Drosophila melanogaster: one gene and its partner. The protein of the gene in region 1 purifies or fractionates together with the protein of each later gene. This does not show direct contact. Each region holds a gene or a part of one and is shown on either strand. Other genes may lie near its edges.

What was found.
Region 2: the proteins of CG31343 (region 1) and PPO1 purify together in Drosophila melanogaster (affinity purification with mass spectrometry, with the first as the bait; one large-scale study listed by BioGRID). This does not show direct contact.

What each region holds. Positions count from the first base shown.
Region 1 is NT_033777.3:21,743,450-21,749,556, reverse strand, and holds CG31343 (uncharacterized protein), read right to left. Parts: upstream 4,292-6,107; 5' UTR 4,253-4,291; coding exon 3,702-4,252; intron 3,372-3,701; coding exon 3,216-3,371; intron 3,084-3,215; coding exon 2,370-3,083; intron 2,168-2,369; coding exon 940-2,167; intron 870-939; coding exon 633-869; 3' UTR 554-632; downstream 1-553. Other genes in the region: CG5849 (uncharacterized protein), read right to left, coding at 5,198-5,509, 5,570-6,107.
Region 2 is NT_033778.4:17,886,596-17,891,840, forward strand, and holds PPO1 (prophenoloxidase 1), read right to left. Parts: upstream 3,379-5,245; 5' UTR 3,306-3,378; coding exon 2,950-3,305; intron 2,893-2,949; coding exon 2,757-2,892; intron 2,688-2,756; coding exon 2,193-2,687; intron 2,119-2,192; coding exon 1,485-2,118; intron 1,328-1,484; coding exon 1,075-1,327; intron 1,016-1,074; coding exon 817-1,015; 3' UTR 625-816; downstream 1-624.

The DNA of each region.
Region 1 (6,107 bases):
ACAAGATCTTGAACAATAATAATTGAAACTGAAGTTCTCGTGTACTTATCATATGTGCTGATATGATAGCGAAATATACACGCCTGTTAACTATTATGGTATAATAGACTGTTCAAGTTCGCTCTTGAGATAAGAAAAGGCCCATTAATCCATACGGAATTACTAAGCAATATGTGCGATACTATGCAACAGCTAGACATCTTCTAATAAATGGTAAAACCATTGAAATTGATTAAGAAACTGAAAACCATAAAATGGCTTATTGTTCTTGAAAGTTGCCAATCACAATCTGATATGATCACGTGAACTTCATAAACCATTCAGGCCATTGTAAATATCCACTTGATAATCGAATTTCGTACTAAGCTCAACTATCAGTGCTTTATCGATGCCATTCCTAGAATCGCGATTAGATTGACCAATGCAAATGTGTGTCAACCAAGCTATAAACCGATCAGTTAAGTTTCCCAACCGCGGAACTTTGAACTTTTCTCACCAGGGGACTCCATTCAGCCCGAAAATTCCACAGTATAATCAGTTCTATTTTCGATCTATGATGAGCACACAATCTTTATTGTTGATTTACGTCACTTTACTGAATTTATGTTTAATACTTGACCACGTGAGTTATCTTAATATAGCCTGAATAGCAACAGAGCCATCGCACTGACCAGGATCGTGGTGATGGATGAGGTCAGAGAGGGACTGCCGTTCTCTTTTAAGGAATCCTCGATCCAGTTGAGCACTGGATCACGATTAACTTCCAACCAAGCGAAGTTGGATGTGATTCTGGAGTCAATGGTGGTGCTCAGATCATCATTGATATAACTCGGTCCATCAGCCTCCACAACATCCACCAAAGCGTTAAGCTGTCATATAATTAATAAATAGTAAATTAAAAGTCTGCTTTGAATTATAAATTAAAAAAAAAAAACGTACCCTCGTCTTTTGCTTCTCACTGACCACATAGGTGGCAATGCCACGCAGGGCAGCATCCAGGGGCTTTGCAGAGTCTGAAAGGTTGGCATATGCCTCCCAGTTGCTCTCCAGGAATTCCAAACTAGCGGTAAGACCGATTTCACTGCGGGAATAGGCCGAGTTTAGAAGGGAAGTGCGCTCCGAGTAGCTCAAGCTATTGTTGGTGTCCAGGGATAGTCTCAAGAAATCAAGCAGCTGGCTCGTACTTCCAGAGCAGCCCAACGAGGAGATGAACAGGCTGCGATCGGTGGAATCTGAGGAACTGAGCAAATCGGACTGCACTCTGCTATAGATTTCATTGGTAGTCGATCGGAGACCAGCACAGTAGGCTTGAGTCTTTAGAGTGGCCTCAATGGCTGTGCCATTGTATAGGTACTCGGATAATTTATTGGCCGACTGGTTATAGCAATCATCGGATCCCACCTGGCAGGCCAAGCTGACCAGCACGATGCGCAGATAGTTGTTCAGATAATGCTCGCCGGGAATCTCGTTTACACCGATTTTATCGAAGATGGGATCGATCAGGCGCTTCACGAAATCTTGGAAGTTGTAGTAAGAATCATCGCCACGCAAGTAACGATCGTAGACGGTCAGAATAGTGTTGGCAGTGGACCAAGGAGCATACTGCTGCTCATTAGTCAGGTAACCCAGCAGCTCCAGCAGGATGCTGTGGCTCAGGCGATCGGTGCTGACAAAGATGTACGTATCGTACAGCAGTTGTGCCCTGTTACGAGGATGGAACCTCCAGGGCTGAGACTTCAGAGCTGCCGTAATTAGACCATAGTTCTGCGTATCGTACAGGGTGCGGTAATAGCCGGAGTTCTGGATATTCACGATTATCCAGTCATCGCTGGAAGCCTCGACATCTGAGATCACGGTCTCCGTCACATTTAGCAAGTAATGTGTGGCGCTCGTGTCACGATAATCGTACTTGTTGGCAGTGGCAAAGTTAAGTGGCACATACCAAGTTGCGCTATTTGTATCAGTTTTGTTCGCCACATAACGCTTCTGGGTGATCGTTATAGTGCCGGCATTGTAATTACGGGTCACTGTGAGCAGGGGATAACCAGCCTGGTGGGACCAGCTACTGAAGATGTCGTCCACACTGGCGGGCAGCGTAAAGCCCAGCTCGTCGGCCGATTCCTGGAAGGACGCAAATAGATCCCATTCGTCGCAAGATGTATATTGGCTGAGCGAAACAAAATAATTCCAATGTGAGATTACTGTTCAAATTAAAATGAGGGCTCTTAAGCCCAGTATATACGAGTATATCATAAAGTTAGCTTTTTAAGTTCTTGAAATATTTTAGATCTTTTGATTAATCAAAATTCTATACTCTATACATTAGAAGTTCATATATTAGGTCATTTAAGTAATGGCTTGGTACTCACTTCTTGGTCAGGTATTTGTTCAATCCAGTGCGGAATACCTTGTCCGTCCAAGCGTTCTTGAACATGTACAGAACACTGGCGGGCTTGGCGTACGAGAAGGTGTTATACCTGTTGGAGATCTCCGATGGTGTCTGAACGTAGTGCGTCATGGGAACGGCCGAGGCCAGGGCGTCGTTAAGCAGAGCGCTGTTGTAGTCGTTCACGTGGAAGATCTGATAGGTGTCCCACAGTGGGAAAGCAATGTCGTTCGATTCGTACGAGAAGAGAGTAGCAAAGCCCTCCTTGAGCCACAGATAGGTCCACCATTTGATAGATACCAAATCGCCGAACCACATGTGCGCGTACTCGTGTCCAATAATATTGGCAATGTTCGTCTTCAGGTTGATCGTGGAGTTCTGCTTGTTCCACCACATGTACTGCTCACGATAGGTGGCCAGACCCCAGTTCTCCATGGCACCGGCAGAGAAGTCCGGTATTCCAGCTTGATCTAGCTTGGGCAGGGCGAAGGGAACCCCAAAGTAGCTAGCCAGACTGGACTCCACAAGCAATCCGGACCAAAGGGCCCATTCCTGCTGATCCTGCTTTCCCTTGCGCGAGAAAACCCGCTGGCGGATGCCATTCAGTTCTCCGGTGGTGGACTCAAAATCGGAGACGATGAAGGCCACCAGGTAGGTGGACATCTTTGGCGTCGTCTGGAAAGCAGTGACTCCCGAGCTGGAAGGCGAAACCGTCAGTATGTTAGCATTTCTTACATGAAAAGTATCGATTGCAATTGTATCTAGCATTGTCAACACTGCGAATGAGTAATGTTTCCTCTATGCTTGTATATATATTCGTAAATCATACCTGGTGGCAGCGGTGTTTACTGGCATATTGCTGATGGCAGTGTAGGAGGGATCATGGTGGATGGTAATCGTAAAGTTAGCTCTACGGGCAGGCTCATCGTAACAGGGAAACGCGTGACGGGCGTTTGTGCTCTCGAATTGCGTGGTGGCCAAGAAGCTGAAAGAAATTGTTATATACATTAACGACTCAGTTAAACCGATAATTAATCTTTATTTGGTAAGCGCGTATCATCGTACTAATAACAGATTATAAAGATAAGCCAAATTGTGTCTCTTGATAAGAAATGAAACTAGCCGCAAGTACTCAATCAGGTACAATTGTAATTAATAGCACGATAAGCTTTTGTACTTTTGCAATTTATTCCCTCATCCATTAGAAGGCTAACCTAAGTATAATTTTCTATAAAGGTAAAAGGGTAAAGGCTGTGCAAGCTCATAATAAAATAATGGTATTATTTTGTATAGTCTTCGTAAAATATCAACTTACTGCTGTTCGCCATCATCGTCCGTATAACTGGAGATATAGAAACCGCCCATATCAGATCGGTGGATGCCAGTGTAGTTGATGGTGATGGTCCAGTTGGTGTTGGCTCCAAATGCCTCACCAGCGGTGGTCTGCGTAAGGACGAGGAATTCGCGCTGCAACTCGGGGGTTACAGTGAGTGGAATTGCCGTGGGCGTGGCCACATCCCGGCTGATAATCGTCGCTTCAAAATTCGACGTCTGGCGATAGTGAAGCGTAATATTCGATGTCTCGTTCAAAACCCGGATATCGATATTGACGGTGCCATTGAATTCGGTATCGCCATTATGGACATTGGTCCAGAGTTCCACGTTGTAGGACTCCGGTTCCGTTGTATTTGGCAGTCGGTAATTGCCGGCACTATTATCATCCACGCGGGAGGTGGCAAAGAGGGCTGCTCCCTTGGTCTCCAGCTGTCCATCGTCCAGGGATAAGGGAAGGATCAGGCGCGCCTGTAGGCTGCACACTGCCAGGAGCAGGATCAGCGAAAACGAGTTAAGCAGCCACCGTGCCATGTTGGCTGCTCGGTAAAAGACACTTTGTTATTGAGCGGCCGCCGCTTGAACACGGCATTTTTATGGACTTGGCCATATCTAATCCTCAACATCGATCGCCATAAAGATTGTTGCGCAATTCTCGATAAAACGTGGCAAAGCCACGGTTATTGGCCCAGAGTGCACTGGGACAAGTCAAATGTGAAGTATGATTGGGCTGTAAAACAATTAGTCTACGAGAGTTTTGAAGATGGTACTCTATAGTGTAAAAAATCCCCTCGGTAACATTTTAATTATTCAGTAGCGTAACGCTTATCAAAATAAAGCAGGATAACATTACTTTTTTGTTAATCAAATTCCTATTATTAGTTTCATCATTAGGAGCAGTAAATTTTTGAATTATGGCTTCGTCTGGGACGACTAAGTATTTGAAAGTACGAAAAAATGCAAGTTGTTATAGTGCTATAATCAAAACAGTCATAAATACTCGTGAAAAACGCTAATAAGTATCAATTAATTTTACGAGGTGCTACATTTTAAATATATCAAATTTGTATGCTTTAATATTCAGTAATCATTGTACAAAAACTAACAAACTTAAGTAATGGCTTTGTTCAGTTTTGTATATTTTTATACGACTTATTGAATGTCCAAAATTGTTATAAATTTTTCAAATTGCTTTTTAATGGCCAGAAATACCCAGAAATAATTACTAGTCTTTGCGTAAAAAAGTTATAGTCATTTGATCGGGTTTTTATTATCGATGACTTTTGTGTTTTATACTTGCTTATCAATTCCCCACGGAGGCGTTTCAGACAAATCGATAACGTCTGTAGTTAATTTAGAATGTGTTGAAAAGCTCTTGGCTGTTGAATGAATTGACTCGATTGTTTTGTTTTGAAAAAAATTAATTTATTCGTAATTAAGCCTGTACTTATGTGATACCTAGTTAGACCAAATGTCTGGTCACCTATACATATCTACTATTCGTAACGCACTGCGCAACACCCTAGTCGCCTCCTTTAGGACTCCTTGAGGACGACTTGACCCATTGGCCGCGCTGAGGGAGGCGGACAAAAGGGCATCACTTCTGCTGGTCGCCTGAGGAAGCTCATTGAGCAGCCATTTGTGGATCTGCTGCTCGAACTTGTCCTGGAAATTTTCGGTGATTTTCATCTTTTTGCCCACCAGCGGAGAATCGACCTCGATCAGCGTTTGGTTCGTATTAAGACCCTCCTGCATCATGTGGTTCGCAATTGTCTGGCGTAGCCTCTCAAACTGAAAAGAGATATGTGTGAACAAAACGAGTAGGATATGAAATAGATATAAACTCATTACATGTGATCTCTGATGTCTGGGCACAAATCCAGCGAGCTGTTTAAAGTGCTCTAAAAAGTTTGGTGCTCGACAGAGCACCTTGTAGTTGCGCTCGATATACTGCCAGATGACCGGACGAGAGGCCAGATTCGACTTGTATATGTAGAGGAGATACATCAAATCTTCGAATTCGGAAAGGACCATATGGGTGGAGTTTTCACCCATCAGACCTTCCAGATAGTATAACAGATGCCGATGACTCTGCGTGCACCGGAGGGCATATATAATGTCATCATAGTATACCGAAGCTCGATCTATTTCCTGCATCATATCAATTATCCTTTGGAAGTCCTGATCGCTTAGATACCGAACTCCCATGCATAACACGGAATCGATTATGGCATGGTAGTCTGATCCATCTTTAAAATAAATTTTATCGATTATATGCTCCTTAGCCAGGCGACGTGTGTATTCCAGGCACTCGGGAAGATCCGCAGAGCAGGCGATTTCTAGAATCCCACGGAACATCCCATCTTCAGCTAAATTTACACCTTGTTCC
Region 2 (5,245 bases), on another chromosome or scaffold:
GAGACAGCTGTTGTGCTGCGCTAATCCAAAGTCTTGAACTTTATCCACATCTAGTGGATGCTTAATTAAGGCCGTCGACTTGGTAAAAGCCAAAAATTAATAAACGCAACACGTGCAGCGATTTTGTTGGCTGTTTTGCGAGGATGTTTTTTCTATTTTCCCTCAACACTTGGTGGGTGGATGGAACGCCAAGGCCTCCTGGACATGGGCAATCGCAAAGTTTGTCGAGCAAGGCGCTTTGAAGTCTAATAGGATTAGTTCGCACAAATGTGGGCGTGTCTGTCTATGACAAATAAACGCCCTTCTGCGGCTGTGTATCTGTATTTCTTTGCTATAAATAATATTCAATATTGCTAAGCAAATATTTGGCATGCGAATATTCCTAGACGAGGATTTCTTATATCAGTAAATATTTATCATATCCATGGCTGGCTTGCTTGAGGCCAACGAAAACGAGTAATCTCTGTTTTGCCTTGAAAAAGTAATAAATAAAAATCTGTAAAATTCTTTGGTCTCCCCGGGTGGTAAATTGGGACTATTAGATACATTATAAGCTTACCAAAAGTTTCTTGGCTAAAGCTATCTACCCACTGCATTCATTAGGTGTCAATACTCGCTTGTATTACTGCCTGCACATATTACAATACATTTATTTTTGTAGAGTGTAATTAGAAACGATAAAACACCACATAAACGCGCACAAGTTTGGTTAGTTATAAGTTAATAGCAAAAAGTGTATATGATTCCAAGAGTTTTCCGTTTTCAAGTCCGTTTCCATTGATTCTTAAAATCATCTCTGTTAGTTGGAGCAATCATCTAGGCCTTGTCAATCACACGATCATTGAAGACAATCCTTAAATCGGTCTTGGCCATGTTGCCAAAGGCACCGACCAATTCGGTGAGATTGGCATTGGGCAGGCGCCTATCGAAGGGATAGCCCATGGTGCGTCTGTCAGGATACAATTTGTCCTTCAGACCACAGAACGAGTACGCCGTGCTGCAGGCATCGTTGGGTCTAATGGGCGACAAGGAGAATGTCAGCTGATGATGGGAAATTGGGTTTATAGCACTCACGTTTTGGGCTGCTCAACGGAGTCCTGCGAGTAATCGGAAATCATGACGAACAGGTCGAAGACCATTCCCTGGGCATTGCCCTTGGGCAGCAGGAGATGCTGTGGCCACCCACATCCGCAAAACTTGAAGCGTGCCAACTCATCGGCGGCCTTGGGCTGATAGTCTGCTCCAACCGGGCGGAATGAGCGCTCGAAGGGAATGGCCACCGAGGACTCTGTCGACTGGCGGCGTATGGTGTTCTCACCAGGCACCACTGGGGATTAATTAAAGTATGTTAATAGATCGTAGGAGGTTGTCAGTAGGGAAAAGTATAAGCTAAAATCACTGGCTAGCTTTGTACGAAAGAAACACTTTTTAAATACCAAAATATTAAATAAATATATATACTAAGAAATACAGTTATTACTCACAATCAACTGTGAACTTGTCCATTTCGATGGCCAACAGTCGCTGCTCCTCCAGATTCAAAGCCTGATTACGCTCATCCACCTTGGGGCAGATGAAGATACGGCAAGTACCCGTTCGTCTGGCTCCATTATTGGTCACATTGAATGTATAAGTGAAGGGGGCATTCTGGAGATGGGTGAACGAGGCGAATATGTTGCGATCGGTCGTTGGTCCAAAGTCCAGGCCAGCTGCCAAGTCGGCACTCGACTTCTGCCAGTAGGTCAACAGGGTGTTGGCCTTGGTATTGGACTTGCCAATCTTGGCCTCAATGTAGTCCACGGTAATACCATCGAAGTTAAGCTCACCGGCATTGTACGGGTTCAGGCGAGTCTTGAATTTGTTGAACACCGTGTCGATGAATCCGTGCCACCTGTAGAAGATTGGATCCCTCATGGCCGTGGTCACATCGCCCATCACACCGAATTCCTCCAAGTGACGGTAATCGGGATCGTGGGCAAAGGAGATTATGTTGTGCCCCTCGTTGTGTAGATTGCCATAGAAATTATAGTTGATGGATAGGACTGGCGATGCCTCAATCATGTTGCCCAGGATATCGATGCCACGAACTTCGTCCAATGGTATACGATTGCCAGAAGACTATGGATTAGCAAATAAAAATTTCTAGTGCTTTCTATGACCTATGCTCAATATTCCAAACGGGCCCAACTCACATCTTCAACGTATCCTTGATCTATGGCAGCCAGCACGCGATCACGCCAGCGCTCCACATCGGAGATCTCCACACGCCCATCATGGCGGTCCACGTCCCTCAGCTTTTGGTTGGTCACTCGGGCGGGATAGGTGCGGTTATTCGTGCTGGACAGGATCTTGGGGAAGTAGCCCTCGGGAACCTCCACACGCAGATTGTTCAGCGGCTGAACCTTCTTCAGATTGTTGCAGAAGCGCTCCACATTGTAGCGCGCGAGTATCTGGTGGTGCATGTAGTAGAAGAGCTCGCCACGACGATCCTTGTTGACCACCTCCGTGGGTCCGGTGGTCGGGTAGACCAAGTGCCAGTGCCAATGATGGCTATTAACACCGATGTCCTCACGGAAGTACGCCAGGCGCTGTTCATCCTCGCGATCCGAGGCCGTGTAGTTTTGCGGAATGTCCACATGGACACGAGCGCCGCTCTCTCCAATAACAGAAGCTTCCTGACGGGCATCCTGTGGTCAAATTTATAAATACACCATTAAAGACTTTGATTGGTCAAATAAAGAAGAACTTAAACGAACCCGGAAGGCGGAAGGTTCTACAAAGTTGCTCGGAAAGATCTGGGAAATGTTGGTAATGGGCACTTCACGCGTATCCGGGCGATGGGCAACGGCGACGGCATAGGCGTATTGGAACAACACAGGATTCACACGATCCCTAAAAAATTAATACATTATACAATACATATATATTTATTTTAGTACAAGTACTTACTTGGTGTAAACGGAAAGCGACACGAATTGTCTGAGATTTGGTGCGCTCATGAAGAGGGTGATCAGCTCGCTGGCGATCTCACGATGGCGATTGTTAAACAGCGAAAATTGATTCTTGAGACCAATCTTTTTGGTGAACTCCAGACTGGGAACGTTGCTCAACTCCTGAATTGGGATCTTCAGATCCACGTCCTTAGAGAATCGATTGCCCACCTCCTCGGTGTCATTGCGATAGCGATCCGTATAGAAGGAATCGGGCAGTTCCAATACAGTTTTTCCGGAGTCACGAGTGGTGAATGCCGGTTCCAGGGGTCGCTGGAACATAAGTTCCAAGGCTTTCAGATCCGTGTTAGTCATGGTTTTCTCTATGGATGTACACTTTCAACTACACTTTTAACTTCACTCAACGAAGCCAGTTGCAGAACTGTGATTTTCCCAGGAAGCCGAACTCATTTTATAGCTAACTAGCAGTCCGAATATAAAAATAATATTTTTAAAAATATTCATTATCAAGTCCCAACCGCAAAACTGCAATGGTCGAGCCTTTTTTCTCACAAATCCAAACGTTGTGGTTTAGTCGATAGCTTCTGAAAAAGCAAAAAGTGCAATACCGCAAAAGTTGTTGAGCCGCAAAATGATAAGAGAAATACTTTTAATTGCTTGCATAAAATAATATACCATTGTTGATTTTCAGTTGAATGTTGTTAAACGTGAAACTGTATTGAGCTTGTTAGATACATATACTGATTTTTTTTCAATACTGCACTGCCTAATGTATACCCACAACCAATTAATTGTTTTCAACTTTTTGAAGAGTTATTAGTTCCGGGGTAGGAAGCTTAAATTGAATTTCTTTGTCTTTGCCGAAAAAGTATCCGAGAAACCTTTTTGCGACCACGCGAAATACAACTCCCAAAGTAAACAAGCCGAAGGCCACCGGAAAAGCTTCTTATTCGCATAGAAATAACACCGAATACTTGCTCAACAGGCTGCCACGCCCCCTTAAAAAGAACCGCCCATCGCCGAATGGGAGGCCATAAATTTGGCTTGGAGCAGAGGGCTCGTCCTTCGACATGGCCCATAAATTTGGTTTTTGAAATGGCAGTGTGTAGCTGAATGTAACTAAGAACTAACTGGCAAGAGAGCTTGGATGATTAAAATATCTATACTGTAAATCAATTTTTGTCGCTACGCCGTCTGGCCAAATGAACGATGTTGGCCAAAAAGCAAAGCGAATGGCCAAACTTTTGGCCATTGTCAATAATAAATGTTTCTGCCGACTTTGGCGTTGAAATGTGTGCGCATTAATCTGTGAAATTGACAGCAACAAAAACGAGCGTAACAAGTTTGCATAAATGTGCGGGTTTCGGGCGAAAATTGAAAAGATGAATTTTCACAATTTCTGCACTCTGGCCATAACAACATGAAAATGACTTTTCTGCTCGACTTTGTTTTGCTAATGTCGATGTTCCAGCAGATACACCATCTTTTCAGTTTATGAACTATGTACGGTAAGCAATGTAAGCCAAATTTGACTACCATCAATTGAATTTTTGTTTGAAATAACTTAGGCAAGAATATTTTATACGATTTTTTGTAGATTCTTTTAAACCATGCATACCACTTATGTATGTAATATAGTAATATATTGCAGAGTATATTGAAGTTGGCTTTTCCTAGAAAACACTTGACTGCACGCAAACATTTATCCGAGCAATGTAATTTTTCATTGAATATTCAACGACAGCCATGGCAAATGTGCTCCAGATTCCAGCCCAAAAGACAAACTTGCTTTAATTAATTATAAATTGTGGAAAAGTGTGTGCTTCTGCGAACTTGGCAGTGTGAATTGAATTAGAATGAAAATGGGCCAAAGCAAAAGCTTTAGGCCAGGACACGTGCAGAGCCTGCTTTCACCGGCGAAACAGAACAAAAAAAAAGGAAAAAACCCAAACTTTTACCAACAAGTCTTAAAAACCACGCAAGTTTGTAAAAGGCGCCAAGCACTCTTTCTGTTTGGCTTTATGGGCGAAAGTCTGGTCCATAAAATGAGCTGTGGGTATGCGTTAATTACCCGCTGGCTTAAATTTTACATTTTGGCTTAAGCACTCTGCGGCCAGGTTCGAAAACACATGATGCCTCCGCCCCAAAGAACATTCCAAACTATTCATTAGTTGTGGGCCAACCGCAGGAATTTGCGGCAGTGTGTTATCAAAATTTCGAGTGGGCTACGCTTTCAATTGTTTGCCCACTTGGGCACCAAACTGATTAAAGTTTCATGGCTCTAATCTGTTTGC